2 linked regions of the Coturnix japonica genome follow. The protein of the gene in region 1 purifies or fractionates together with the protein of each later gene. This does not show direct contact. Links are inferred from orthologs where the notes say so. Each region holds a gene or a part of one and is shown in the gene's direction. Other genes may lie near its edges. The genes, in order: JUP and desmoglein-2.

What was found.
Region 2: the proteins of JUP (region 1) and desmoglein-2 purify together in Homo sapiens (affinity purification with western blotting; 3 studies listed by BioGRID and IntAct, with this or other methods). This does not show direct contact. The link is inferred for Coturnix japonica from reciprocal best matches to the Homo sapiens genes JUP and DSG2.

The regions. Positions count from the first base shown.
Region 1 is NC_029542.1:4,303,138-4,310,890, reverse strand, and holds the start of JUP (junction plakoglobin), read left to right. Parts: upstream 1-2,533; 5' UTR 2,534-2,631; intron 2,632-7,753. Other genes in the region: P3H4 (endoplasmic reticulum protein SC65), read left to right, coding at 1-39, 102-230, 331-476, 559-642, 814-949, 1,030-1,040. UniProt on the Homo sapiens protein: Common junctional plaque protein. The membrane-associated plaques are architectural elements in an important strategic position to influence the arrangement and function of both the cytoskeleton and the cells within the tissue.
Region 2 is NC_029517.1:95,849,682-95,856,981, forward strand, and holds part of desmoglein-2, read left to right. Parts: intron 1-3,133; coding exon 3,134-3,169; intron 3,170-3,736; coding exon 3,737-3,871; intron 3,872-4,550; coding exon 4,551-4,709; intron 4,710-4,955; coding exon 4,956-5,100; intron 5,101-6,314; coding exon 6,315-6,475; intron 6,476-7,241; coding exon 7,242-7,300.

The DNA.
Region 1 (7,753 bases):
AGCTGCAGGAGTTCAAGGACTTTTACCCGGCCATCGCAGGTAGGTGGGCAGTGGGGGGGGGGGGGGGGTGATGCGGGGCAATGGCTGACACCTGTTCCCAGACCACTATGTGAGCGTGCTGCGCTGCAAGGTGGGCTGTGAGGGCGAGCTCACCCCCAACGTGGGCGGCTACTTCGTGGAGAAGTTCGTGGCCACCATGTACCACTACCTGCAGTTCGCCTACTACAAGCGTGAGTGTGGGCTGGGGGCTGGGGGCCTGAGCCCCTGGGGGGTCCCAGGGCTGGGTGTCACCCTCCATGTCACCCCCATGTCTCACTCTGCTCCTTGCAGTGAATGACGTGCGGGATGCGGTGCGCAGCGTCTCCAGCTACATGCTCTTCGACCCGGATGACGCGGTGATGCAGCAGAACTTGGTGTACTATCGCTTCCACCGCGAGCGCTGGCACCTGCAGGAGGAGGATTTTGAGCCCCGGCCGGTGAGAGCCCCCCCAGCCCCTGCCATGGGGCTCTGCTCAAATGGGGGCTGACATGGTCCCCGCTCCCCCACCCTGTGCCCAGGAAGCCGTGCACTACTACAACCGCACAGCTGCGCAGAAGAAGATGCTGGAGTTCGCCAGGCAATACCTGCAGGCTGATGATGAGGTGGGTGACGGCCACTTCTGGGGGTCCCATGCAGGTGGGGGCTGTGGGTACCTGTGCAGTTATACAGACAATAGGTGAACAGATGTTCTGTACAAAAGATTATCATGATAGAAATATGATCTATGACATGCTATCCATGGTCTATCTATGCTATCCCACCCTGTGCTGCAGATGGAGGTGGATGATGGAGAGGACCTGCAGGATCTGCCTTCAGACAGCGAGTTTGAGGGTGAAGGGGACTATGAGGAGGGATTCTTCGCAGAGTGGTGGCAGGAGCCCAGCACCAAGGGGGACAAAGCAGACGAAGGTTCCTGACTGGGGACTGTGATGCAAAGCTGGAGGGGGGCTGCTGCTGCATCCCAGTGTTACCATCCCCTCTGTTTGCAGAGACGCTGTGATGTGCCAGGAGAAGGGGACTCTGGCCCTGACGGAGCAGGATGGTGGTGGCCGAGTGGTGCCATTCTGGGGCCTCCAGGCTGCAGGCTCTTGCTCCATGCACGGGAACACGGGTTCACTGGGAAGGGCTGATCCTGCCCAGTGCTCCCAGCAGAACTGCCCCATCTACAGGGACATGCTGCCATAATTCCCATCCGAGGAGCAGCCGCACCACTGTGCCACCACCTGCCTGGTGCCCCCTGAGCCCCCCCAGCCCCGATGTCCCTGGGAGCCCCATAGTAGCGCTCCATAGCAGCACTGAGATTTGCTGTGCCCCTTCATTGCTCCCCCAGGAGCCACTGACCAGGGGGCCAACAGCAAACCCCTGTGCTGCCTTATGGGTTCTGTGCACGGTGCTGGTTCTGGCAGCAGCCCACCCCCACCGGCAGCTCCCAGAGCCGCCCCTTCCCCCCGTCTCGGTGCTGGGTGCTGCTCCTGGTGCACGGCATCCCTGTGCCACTGTACCCCGTCACCACCTCTGCCCCACAAGTGCCTTCATCTCTCTCCCAGCAGCCCCCAGAGCTTTAAGCTCCATTAATTTAATACTTCCCATCTCGCTTTTATATTTTTCGCTCGTTTATTTTGTATTTTAAACGTTCTGGTGCTGAACTTGGAATAAAACTCGGTCCGCTCTTTTGACGGCCGCCTCTGCCCGGAGCAAATCGGGACGGACACAAGTGCCATGAAAGACCATCTGGGGGGGGGTCGGTCGGGTCGGGACCCCCAGGCCGGGCGGTGGGTGCTGGGCGGCCGCTGGTGCAGCCACGGCGCTGCTTTGTGCCTGGCGGCCGTCGAGCTGTTGGCAGCACGAGGCTCCGCCGGGACTTGGCTGCGGTGACTGAAACCGAGAGGCTGAATCACGGCGTGAGCCGCGGGCGAGGGAAGGGACGGGATGGGGCGGGACGGGACGGGATGGGACGGGATGGGGTGGGATATTATGGGATGGGATGGGATGGGATGGGATACAATTGGATGTAATGGGATGGGGACAGAATAGGATATAGAATGGGATGGGGAGGGGTGGGATGGGATGGGATATTATGGGATATTATGGGATATTATGGGATGGGGTGGGATGGGCGCTGCCGCTCCCCGCCCTGCTCCAGCTGCGTGTCTCCCCCGCTCCGACCCGCAGTGCCGCCCCCCGCCCCCCCTCCATTTACCCCCCTCCATTTTCCCCCCCTCCATTTTCCCCCCGTTGTCCCGACCCGGTTCGGTCCCGTTCGAACCCTCCCGGCTCCGCCCCGTGACGTCACCCAGGTGGGCCCTCGGTGCGCTCACGCCCTTCCCCACCCGCCCTCGCCCCGCCCCCGCCCCGCCCCGCCGCCCAATCAGCTCCCGGCGCGCGGGGGGCGGTCTCCTCCCCGCCAATGGCGAGCGGATAAACACGGGGAGGGGGCGGGGCCCGGTCAGCAGCGGCGAAGACGGACGGGAAGAAGAACCAATGGCAAGCGGGCAGCGCTGTGAGGGGCGGGGCCAGGCGGGGCGGGGCGCCGTTCGCCTTTTGTTCGTGCGGGAGCGGGGCGGGCGGCAGAGCTGCGGGAACCGGGAGAGGTGAGAGACGGGGGGGGCGGGCGGGGGGCGAGGGGGGGGGGCCTGGGCTGGGGGGTCCCGGCATCGAGGGGCTCCGGGCTCCGCGCGGTGTCGGGCTGTTACCGCCCCCCCCCCCCGGGGCAGCGCCGCGCCCGGCTGCGCTCATCCCGTCCGACCGGTCCCGAGCAGCCCCGGGGCTGCGCTCACCGCCGGGCTCGGTTCGGTTCGGCCCAACCGGCCCCGTGCGGTTCCGGTGCTGCCGCTGGGCGCTGCCCCGGGTGGTTGTTCCGGCGGAGCCGCTCACCTGCCCCGAGCAGCCCCGGGGAGCGGGACGGGCTGCGGGAGGGGAACGGGGACGGGGGGGTTAATGAAGCGGCTCCTGTTCATCCCGCCGCGCTGACACCGAACGTCGGGGCAGCGGAACTGAGCGGGGAGCGACCGGCTCGTATCGTCGTCACGTTCTCGTTGCGTTCGCTGGGTGATTAGTTTAATTAATCGGCGCAGATTAAAGCACGACGCGGGGCCGCTGCTGGGAGTTGCCCGCGGAGGAAGGCGTGGGTTGTGCGCGGGGGGACGCGGTGGGAGCGTGGGCGGCTCCCGGGGCGCAGCCCGGGCCGGGACGGAGCCGTGCTGACCTCAGCGCTGTCCCCGCGTCCTGCCGTGCCCTCCCCGGTGCTGGTATCCCCGGGCCCCCCCTGTCCCCGCTCCGGGGCTGTCCCTGCTCCGTCCCTTCTCTGTCCCTGCTCCGTCCCCTTCCCACCCGCAGTTTGGTCCGTCGGTGGGGGGCGCGGATCCCCTCCCGTGTCCTTGTGGGCGTGCGGCGGGGCAGTGTGCGGAGCGGAGCAGCCATTAAGGTCCTTCCACCTCCGAAGGCCGTAATTGTTCACCGCTTTGGAGGATTTCCACAAAGTGGTTTGAAAAACCCATTTGGCAGCGAACTCGGCTTTAACAGGTGGGCACAGGACGCGCCTGCGCAAAGCCCGGGTGGCGGTGGCCGGGGGTCGTTTTATCCCCGGTTCTGGTGCCGCTCGCTGGGCGATGAGGAGCTGCTGGGGGGGGCTGAGCTGCAGCTGCCCGACTCCGGCGGTGGGGAAGCGCTGGCGGAAGCGTGGGGGGGGCTGCAGGCCGCCCCAACCCCCCCCGCCCCCACAAACAATGGCTCCCATTCCATTGTCTGGTGCTGCAGCCACTCCCCTGGGGACAGCGGGGATGCCGGCATGAAGCACCTCGTGCCCCGTCCACATGTGGGTCCCCGTGGGCTGTGCCGTTGGCACCACTGCCCGTGGTTTGTTCACACCTGGAGACCACGGAGCGTTTCGCCTCTGAGCTGTACATGAAGGTCGGGTGCTGCCCTCCTCCTCCTGGGAATCCTTCCTTGTTCCCCCATCAGACCCCCAGCCGGTTGGGGGGTGCAGTTGGCAGCCCGCAGGGAGGAGCTGCGCTGTGGGGCTGCAGTACAGGGTCTGCATGGGGAGCTCACAGGGCTCTAATTGAGGTGTCTGTACCACAGCTCATGCTGCTCCTGAAATTTGAAATTAGGCTGGCTTCTAATTAGCAGGAGTTAAAAAGAAGTTTCATTTCTATTGAAGCACTGCAAGTCTGCCTTGGACTTCTTGTGGCACAGTTGCCAGCTCTGACTCTTGTTTTAGGTGGTGTTTTCCCACCTCGGTGCTTTAGGGCTGTGCCTGGGATAGGCAGCAAATGGGGTCTGGGTGGCAGCTGTGGGTCCCAGTTGGTCTCCTGGGACCTGGGGTGTCCCCCACGGGGCTGTGCCCTGCTGGCAGCGCCTGGCTCGCAGTCAGCCCTGGAGGATGCAGCACTTGAGCTGATGCAGCATTTCCAGCTCCACCAGGGTTGGGTTTACCCCGTTTCCCAGGGACAGGGTTGGGTGTTTGGGGATGGAGCAGGCACGCTGTCTGTGCATGGGAGAGGCTGCCAAAGAAGTCTTAAAACTTGACCTAAGCAGCTTAAAAACACATCTGTGCTTACAGTGCTGCTGGCCAGAGCTGAGCTGCAGAGTGCTCCAAAGCTGCATCCTGTGCTGCCAGCTCAAGGACGGCCCAGCACAGCCCTGGATGCCACGCTTGGCGTGTTGCTGCCTGCTCTGCTCAGTGCTCCCGAGGCCCACATGCTGCAGGGGTGGTGCAGTGCACCCAAAGCTTTGGGGTCCAGTGGTGGGGGGGGCAATGCTGTGTGTGCTTCATCACCCCCTCCTCCCCCCGCTCCCCTCCATGCTACATCAGTCCTTCAGTGCATCCTGGGGTTTGTCCTTACTGTGTGCTCACTCTGTGCTGGCTTTGGGCTCAGGAGCCTCCTGGGCCAGTGCATCCTCCTGCCTCCATGGGGTGAGAGCTGTCTATGCTCCCCCCTTGTGTGCAGTGCACTGTGCTTTGTAAGGGTGGTGAGGGGAATACAGGAGGAGTGAGGGGCAAGATGTTTCTAATTAGACAGGCTTGAGATATCTCTCCAAATCTGCCATCCCCGATTGGTTTTTCTGCAGCTGCTGACAGGCCTGGAGGCATTTCATAATGCTTGAATTGCTCGGATCTAAAATCCCTCCATGCAAAGGGCAGGAGCCTTGTGCTGGAGCGGAGCTCCTGGTGGCTCGGGGCGCTGAGCTGTGCTGGGGCTGCCATGGGATGCTCAGTGCTCTCTGAATATCCCACACCTGCTGACCTGACCCATTCCCCCAGTGCTGCGGAGATGCACAGGGGGGGTCGTGCAGCACTGCAGCTAAGGCTGCAATCGGCCTCGTGGCATCATCGCCATGCATTGGGCAGGGGTCTGTTGGGGGCATTGCTGGGGGGGGGCAGGTGCTGGCACTGAGCTCCTCCAGCACAGTGCGGAGCCCTGGCACTGTGAGGCAGCCGATGCTGCTGGGTGGTGGCACAGCTGCTCCATGCTGGCAGGGCTGTGCCAGTCCCCACCTCGGTGCCAGCAGCAATCCCACTCCTTTACCCACATCCCCGCCGTCTCAGGGATGCGTTGCCGTGCTGCTTTGTGCAGACACAGGGCTGGGATGGCAGGGCAGGAGCGTTCACTTTGCTGGTGGCAGAGACCTTTGGCTGCTGTGCGAGCGCTGCTGTAATCGCAGTGACACCCAGCCGAGCCCTGGTGACAAATCATTAACCTGCTCCGACAGGCCGTGTGCTGACGGGTGTTGGCGATAATTCCCTGTGAAGCATTTGAACTTTGCAGATGTAATGCAGTTGGATGGGGAAATGAAGCTGGGGCGCAGCAGCCCTCAGCCCTGCTCTGCTGGCAGATCTGGGGTGGCAGAGCCCTGTGCCATTGGACACCATTATTCTTGCTGGAAACACACATGAGCCTCCAAGCTGAAATCCTAAAAGCTGCAATTATTGCGTTCCTGAAGGACAATTTGTTCCTGGTGCTCTCTAAAACAAAACATTTCTTTTCTTATCCAGATGGAGCTGTTGGGATTGATTGCACCGTGCCAGCTCTCCTGTCACGGACAAATGGGGAGCTCCCATCCTCCCCACCCGTGTCTGTAATGAGACGTGCCACCTCTGCTGGCTGAGGGCTGTGCCCTGCTGGGCTGGGGGGCACCTCCCCTGCTGGGCTGCTTAGTGGGGAGGGGGCTGGGGCGGCAGTGCGGGATCCCTGCGCGGTTCCCAGGATGGGGCAGGGTGGGGTGGGACGCTGGTTCCACGTGCGGGAGCGGCTCCTGCTCATGGCAGGGATGGGTGTTGGCGCTGAGGGCGGAGGGAGGCCCAGAGCTGTTCTTCACCTGGGAGCGAGCCAGGACAGCGGCCACGGTCCCGTGTGGGTTGTGAGGGTCCCCAATGTGGGCAGAGCCGTGGGGAGGGGGGGGGGTTGTGGGTGCTGATGGAGCTGGAGGGGGAGCTGAGCTTTGCCCACAGTGTGTGCAATGGGGCTGCACCAATAGCTCAGCATCACATCTGGATTTGGTGGGAATTGATAGAGACACAGACGGCCCCGTGCTGGGAGCTGATGTGTGGCGGTGCTGTGTGTGCTGTCACGGCAGAGGAATGTGCAGCAGAGCACCTTGTCCCCTCGTGCTGGCAGTGCAAGAACATGACAGCCCACACTTGCCTGTGCTGGAGCTGTCAGCAGCTGCTCTGTGGGGCGGAGATGTGGGGCTCTGGTGGGGAGCGGTGCTGGGGGAGCAGTTGGGGCTGGGGGTTGAGCACCAAATAAAGGTGGCTGTGCTCAGCTCCTTTGTCTGTGGGTTGCCGAGGGCTGCGTGTGCACAGCTCTGGGATGGTTCTCATTCCCTTTGAACCCTTTGAGTTATCTGTGCTGCAGAGCCCTCCTGGAAGCAGCCCATGTGAGCGCAGAGCTGACTGTAACGCTGCCCCTTGATGCTGGGGAGCTCTGAGAAGTGCCTTTCTCTCCCTGCCTGCGCTGCTTGTTCTTCTGAAGGATTCTGTTAAAGCCTATTGAAGCTCTGGTTGTTGGCAGTGGTGCCAGACGTGGGATGCCGCTGCTCCGGCACTGCTGTGCTGTCTGGGCAGCTGGGAAGGGCAGAGGTTACTGGTGTGCAGTAGAAGTGCATCTGAGATCACCCTTCCTTACCCTGTATTTGTTGAATTGCCTTTAATGCCTCTTTCCTTTCTTTAAAAGCCTCAGTGGCTGTAGTTGCAGTTGCTCGCGTGCTTCCTGCAGCCCAGCTCGCTGCTGGTGCACAGTGCAGCTGCGGTGCTGTGCTTTGTTCTGTGTGCTGGGGGGGTTGGGGACACCTCACTGCTTCTGTGCCCAGTCAGAGCCTCACACCACCAACACCTCAGGGTGACAGAGCTGTCTGTGATGGGGACGTGGTGCTGCAGGGGCTGCTGAGCAAAGCAGCACTGTGAGCCCACCGCCAGCACTGCAGGTGAGGGGACCCCAGGCAGTCCTTACCTCTGTGTGAGGCTCTGATTATGGCATCCCCGCTGCTGTGCTGGGCAGCTCAGCTGTAAATCAGTGCCTGCTGTGGATGCTGCGTCCTGCCCGTGTCACGGAGCTGCAGGAAGGGGCTGCGGGGGGGAGGTGTTTACTGGAGACTTCCCCTGCAGACAGTCAGGGGGGGCTGTTGTGGGGGACGATGCTGTCTGGCTGCTGATCAAACAGCCTTAGAGGAGCCTTCTGGCCGAGCTGTGCAGCAACTTCCCCTGTTTCTTCA
Region 2 (7,300 bases), on another chromosome or scaffold:
ATGTGATATTTCAGGAACTAAAACTGCCCTGCTTTGTTGGTGACAGGAGAGAGAAGAACTGTGGAGTGTTCCCTTTTTGTGTGTGTATTCTTGCGTGTGGTGGTTTTTAACCAAGATGAAACGATTGTTGCGGGTGAAAGTAGCTGCTTCTGTGAGCATTCAACTGGAGTCACTGGTGTCAAAAGACATGCAAATAAGACACTGATAATTGGAAAACACAAAGAACTGACTAAAAAGCAAAATGCTTGCAGAAAAAATACAGGTTCTTCCTTTCCTGTTTTTCCTGGAAGCATCTATTTGTTGACTGTGTTCCCTCAGTACCCGTGATCTATATCCATAACATCAGCCTGTATGAAAAGAAGCATAGCCAGCAGGGTGAGGGAGGTGATCCTGCCTTTCTACTCTGCATTGGTGAGGCCTCACCTGAAGTGCTGAATCTAGATGTAGAGTCCTCGGTACAGGAGAGACATAGACCTGTTGGAGCACATCCAGAGGAGGGCCACAAAAATGATACAAGGGATGGAGCACCTCCCTACAAGGAGAGGCTGAGAGAGCTGGGGCTGTTCAGCCTGGAGGAGAGAAAGTTCTGGGGAGGATCTGGGTGGATGAGAAGTTTTCTTATATGTGAAAGGTGACTGTCATGAAGAGGGAGTTGTACTGTTTCCTAGTTACGTTATCTACGTGACAAAGAGAGAGATTCAGCTTGTGATTAAGACATTTCAGTGTAGCTGTTTTGGTGTCTGTTATAGGAAACACATGCAGTGGATGTAGGATGCACATATTTGATTGGATCAAACTGTGCTTCTGAAGCAAATCTCCGGAGTGTGTCAGTCTGACCCTTTGAGACTGAAACTGTCCTGAGAGATGTTTCCATCACTTCTGTGGCTGTTTATTCCATGGTGTCAAGCAAATTCTAGTCTGAAGTAAAGCCCACAAAGCTTTACTTTGGCACTGTTATGCTCTCAGCAGCAATGCTGTGATCTCCATCACTGGTTTTTAGAAACAGGTTAAACAGATGTTAGGCAGCAGATGGATGTTACTCATCCTGCCCTAGGGCAGGGAGATGGACTCAGAGATAACCTCCGATGTCCTTTCAGCCCACTTTTGTAAGTGTGCAGGATGTCCACTTTCCAGTGGTCTTCAACATGAAACTGACCTGCACAACATGTGACAAGACCACATTTATAGGGTTTCTAGTTTCATAGCAAAGCAAATAGGCGTATACACCTTGCTTACTCATTCTGCATCTTTCCAGTATAAAATGAAGCTGTGTGTTCAAAATCTGTCTCTGCAGTCACTTCCTTCCCAAGACATGAGCAGGCATTTGTGCAAGAGCAGCCTTGAACTCCCTATACATGTCAGTCACTCCCTCCTTTTCCCCTGCTGCCTCACCCATTCCAGCTGCTTTCCAGCAGTATTTCATTCCATTTTTCTTACTTCAGGCTTCAGGTTTTCTGACTAATTTTCTGTAACAATCCAATTGTCTTTTGCCAGTGCCTTCCCAGCTCCATGTCATCAATAGATTTCATCAGTAGACATCTGGGTTTTTGTGCTGAGGCTGTGATTCACACCAAGTGACAGATGGGGGTTTTCCCTACTAAGCCACTTAATAGAAGGCAGTTGTAGTATATTGAAAAATACATCTTCCAGATGTATCTCTTGCATCTCAAAAATGAAATTGCCATTTTTAAACACCTATTTTAGATCTCTTTAAACTTCCTTAGGGGGTTGCCTATAGACCACAAACTATTATAGGTTAAAAAGCAAAGAACCAAAATCATCTTTTTTAGCAAGAGAGCAGAATGCTTGAGGCTCTTTTATAGGACTCTACTTCTAATGACTAACGGGATTTTCTCTACTTCCTTGATGGCTCTTTTATCTTAGTCCACTGAGATATTTGCAAACTTCAGACACTTTAGTTTACATTGTGGTTTTCAGGCTTCTGATACAAAGAAACTGCTCTCCTGCTACTTTTCCCAACCTTGTCCACTGCTGTGTAGTGTTGTGTGAGAAAGAGGGAATGAAAATATTCTATCAAGCTACGATGTAGCAATCAATGTGAGACTGAAGGGATGAATAGTTAAAGCCCAGTTAGCAGTTTAAAAACCAATCAAAGAGAAGATTTAAAGTATTTAACATATTCTCAGTGGCCTGGATGAAGGGATAAAATCCACCCTCAGCTAGCTTGCTGATGATACAAAGCTGGGTGGAGTGGCTGACACACCAGGAGGCTGTGCTGCTGTTCAGGGAGACCTGGACAGGTTGGAGAGTTAAGCAGAGAGGAGCCTTATAAGGTTCAACAAAAGCAAGGATAGAGTCCTGCACCTGGGCAGCAGTAATCAAGTGGCCAGCAGAAAAGAGAAAAGTGATGCTCCCCTTGTACTCTGCTCTTGTGAGGCCACATTTGGAGTACTACATCCAGTTCTGGGCTCCTCAGCTCAAGCAGGACAGAGAATTTGTAGAGTCCAACAGAGGGCCACAAAGATGATGAGTGGCCTAGATGGGAGAAGGCTGAGACACCTGGAACTGTTTAGCCTGAAGAAGAGAAGACCTGGGGGATCTTGCCAATGCTTGTAAATATCAAATGGGTGGGAGTCAATTGGATACAGTCATTCTCCTTTCAGTGACAGAACAAGGGGCTAGGGACACAAACTGGACCACAGGAATTGCCACCTGAACATGAGAAAGATCTCTGCTGCAAGGATGACAGAGCACTGGCACAGGATGCCCAGAAAGGTGGTAGAGTCTCCTCCTCTGGTGGTATTTAGAACCTACCCAGATGCCTGTCTGTGCAACCTACGGTAGGGAACCTGCTATAGCAGGTAACTAGATGATCTTTAGAGGTCCCTTCCAAGCCCTGTGATTCTATGGTTTACTGACTTCAATAGAAAATCACTTCTCTAAGCCTACTTTTCCTTAGGCCTTAGGTCAATAAAAATCACCTTTGGAGCATCAGGGAATGCAAACACAGGATCTCTGATAATTTGACTGAGGATCCAATTTCTTACATTTAACAAGAGACACCTAATTGCAGTGTCTTGGGGCATGCATAGCTATCCAGGGCTCTTAGTGGATAAAGAAATGTACTGCTAAAGTGACCCTGAATTAATAATTATCATGACTTTCATTACAGATCTGTCTCAGTTGTGGAAATGGACTCCATTGGAAGGTAGGAGTTAATGCTTTTCTTTATAAGTGCCTGAAGGCCTGAAGATGGATCTGGAAACCAGCAGGACAGGAGGAGGAAGAAGTGTCAGTGGGAATGAGGGGTAGCTGGCCAAGGATAGCTGAGACAGTGAATGGGTTTCTTATTGCATGTATCCTGTATTACAGAAGAAGCTGAGTACTGGTCAGTATTGATGGGACACTAAACAGCATAAGGCAGAAATAGTTGTCTACAGCAGTATCAGTGGCAAACTTCATTCCACATCTGGTGACAAGCACTTAAATCTGCCAGAATGGGTGTATTATCAGCATACCCTGGTCGTGTGAACATGCCTGTGTATTTAAACCTTGTGCTTTATATGTCTGTCTTGATTAAAAAATCGCTGAAGTTTTTCTCTTCAAACAACTTCAGGAATGTATAGTTTTAAATTGTGCTTCAGAATGGTAGTACTGCTCTGTGATTTCAAAATTAGTATTGTAACAGTGTATAACCTGGACTAGCACAGCAATAAAGCACCGTATCTTAAATGACCAGATGTTATGCTGACGTTTAGCTTTGTTTTTTTCACAGATTTACAATCGAAGTGGCAGGCATGGCGCATCATCTCATCCCAACAGCCCAGTCAGACAGAAGCGAGAATGGACAGTCCCTCCTGCTTTCATACGGGAAGAGGAAGACAATTCCTATAGGAATCCAATTGCTAGAGTAAGCCCCGAAAAGAGATAAATACAGAATACACAGAGATGAAATTATAAAATAAAGATGTGGCTGCCCTAACCACAGACACAGATGTTTCTTTAATTTTAATGAACTATTGAATACTAGTAGAAGACTGGCACATTTCGTTCAGTTTCCTTCTGAAGATGAGTTACTCTTGAAGCCTGATTTGACTGAGTCTCTCATCTTTTCCCACTCAACAATTTTCTTAATGCTTTTGGAAATGCAGTTGTTTTTGAATTTTTTTCACTCTACCACCCTACCAGAATTACTCAGCTCTGGTTCAGGTTGGCTAGCAGCTCCTAAAACTGCTGGTGGTGATTGGACAGAAGGGTGTATGTGGAGCAGTCAGACTCTTCCTTGAACTTGTATGCCATCCAGCTTTCTTTGTCCAAGTAGTCAGAGTTTTCTTCTCCCACAGACCTCTCTGTTCTGTGGTTCCCAGCTGTTGCACTGTCTGTCACATTCCTAATCTCCCTTGGACTAGATCTTCAAAGAGACCACATAACTTTTTCTTCTCTCAGCATCTACGCACTGTAAACAATGTAGAAAAACTGTATTTAATACTAATTTTTGTTTGATCATTATGAAAATAGCTAAAAGATTGTGTCTTTTTAAACACGGTTTTATTTACCAATTACTATTTACTCTATCATGTTCCTACTAGATACATTCTGATCTTGAAGACACAGGGATCGTGGTAACTTATACTATATCTGGTCAAGGAGTTACAGAACCCCCTTATGGACTGTTTGTTATCAATGGAAAGACCGGAGACTTGAACATCACAGGGAGGGTTGACAGAGAAAAGACTCCAAGGCTATTAGTAAGTTGAATATTAACTTTACCCTCATAAGTGCTCTTCTTTCCTTTTTTAATAAAAATATTTATTATTTCAAGAAGTTTTAACATTTCTGGACATATATATATAAATGTGTGTGTTTGTGTATATGCACATATATATAACTGCTAATATTGTTATATATAATGTTGCTATATATTTAAATTGTATCCGTACTCACATATATGTATTACAGTCACTCATTTTCTTATTGTCTCTGAATTATTTCAGTTGCGAGGTCATGCTCTAGACAAGACAGGAGCAAAACTGGAAGAGCCAATAGACCTCCCAATTAGAGTTCTAGATATAAATGACAATCCTCCAGTGTTTTCACATGAAGTTTTTGTTGGTTCAATTGAAGAATTAAGTGAAACAGGTAACATTTATTTTTTTTTTTCTAATTTACCTTTTCTGAACTCATTCAGAAAGTGAATGTAGCCATTGCAGCAGCATATCTGTAGTAACAATAGTGCATTATCTTGCTTGTGTAGGACAGGTTATCCAAGTTTGAATGCATGCTTTTATTCAGGGCTGAGTTGTGCAGTGTGGTGAAGGGAAAGCATGTGCATAAAAGCAACAGAGAACAAGACTTCCTCTTATGCCAACTTTGTTTTTGGGTCAAAGCTGACATCAAGCCAAGGACTGTAGTCCTTAAGTAGACACTGCATGGAGAATTCCATCCATCTTCTGTCCTAGCAATTCCAGCCTATTTTGGAGGCACTCAGCTCTGCTGTGATTAAGAAAAGTTCTCCTTCATTTAATAGTCTGGAGAAGCACTTTAATATTGAGAGAGAACAAGTTGTTGTCAATTTTCTTATTAATGACAGTAAACATAAGAACAGGTCTTGGTGCAATAGACTGTTTCCCAGAGTAAAATGTCCTAATAAATACCTGATACTACGTCCATTTCAATGCCATGGTAATCTGAAGATAGAAATTACTGACCATCCATTTGTTTGAGGTATTAAGTTCCCGCAGCTGCCTTTCAAGTCAGTAACAGCCATATGGTAACTGTCTCTCTTCCTGAATTCCAGCTGGTGCTCAAAGCCAGGTAATAGTGCTGGACATTGACGTAGGCCCTTTCCAAGTAAAATATCCTGTGTCGTGCACATAAGGGGCCTGCAGCATGGAGGCTACCATTTATTTTGAATTAAGCAGTTGGAGGGCATCAGTCAGTAAAGAGCAGATGTTGTATTGATGTTCATGTACAAAAGTTGTCCAGCTTCCTTTAGGATGATATATGAGGGAAACGCAATTTACTGTCTGAATTATGTTGCCATCTTCTTTATACAGTATCTAAAGTTTTCTGTCAGAACTCTTGTGAGAGTTCAACTCGTTGGATAGTTGTAATGAATTGAATTCTACAGCCTTCAGATCTGTGTTGATAGGGTAATTTTTGTTTGTGATTTTTTAACATAAATTGTTTTTCAAGAACACTTTTTCAGCTCTATTAAATTAGCAGAGGTAGGGGCATCAGAAAATTGTGCATTGCATCTGGCAGCACACTCCTACCTGTGGCATTACAGTAAAAATACTTGCCAGTGCATGGCAGCGTAACCAAGTATTGTATTGTGTTGTGGTTTTTTTCAGGTACAATTGTGATGAGGTTAAATGCAACGGATGCAGATGAACCAAATAACCTGAATTCCAAAATTGCTTTCAGGATCATTTCCCAAAGCCCAAGTTCTGCATTCAGTATGAATAAAGATACTGGCGAGGTTCGAGTAGCAGCAATAAACCTTGACAGAGAGGTAAAAAAAAAACAAACATTCTCTGTTGATAGTATTCTTCTGGTACCTTTTATCACTTTTCACTTTCCTTCATCCCAGTTGGGTTTAAAGGACCATTCCTTGTCTGTCGAATGTATGTTTTCCAGTGGCTTTGTGAGGGGATGAGGTAAAGCTTGCTTTCACCCTGTCTCTTTTTTTCTCACAATGCCAGTTGCTGGCTGTTGTTTTCTGTCCCTTCCGTGCAGCTGGGCAGCAGTTACATGACACAGGGGTGTTGTCTCTTTGCTGGTGTGCCTGTGGGTAGAACACCCAGGTCACCACCTGTAAAGCTGCTGGTTGAATCTAGACTTTTGTAGACTGCTGTACAAATCAGGTCCTAAAGGATAAGTGATGGTGCTGCTGTGAGTGTGTCGAAAGCCAGATATTGTTGGCAACTTTCCCTATGCTTGCATGTATTTTCACTGACCAGCAGATGGTGATCTTTATATTAGCTCTCAGAGGCTGCAGACACCATCCTTTTCTTAATGTGCAGGTATTGCTGCATCCTCTTTGTGGCTACTGAAATTTTTCCACTTTTGTATTTGAGCACAGTCTAACTCTTTGGGAGGAAAATGCAAAACTCCCAAACCCTTTTCTGAGACTCAGCTTTACTCCAGTAGGAAGAGCTATGTATAAATTGGCCATTGCTTGAGAGATTTTGACAAAATAAGGCACAGGTAATACAGTAAGGCAACACAGATTTAGACTAGTTTAACACTTCTTCCTTTTTCTTTGCTAATTATGACAGACACAAAGTAGCTATTCTTTGGTGGTGGAAGGGAAGGACCGTGATGGTGCAGCAGATGG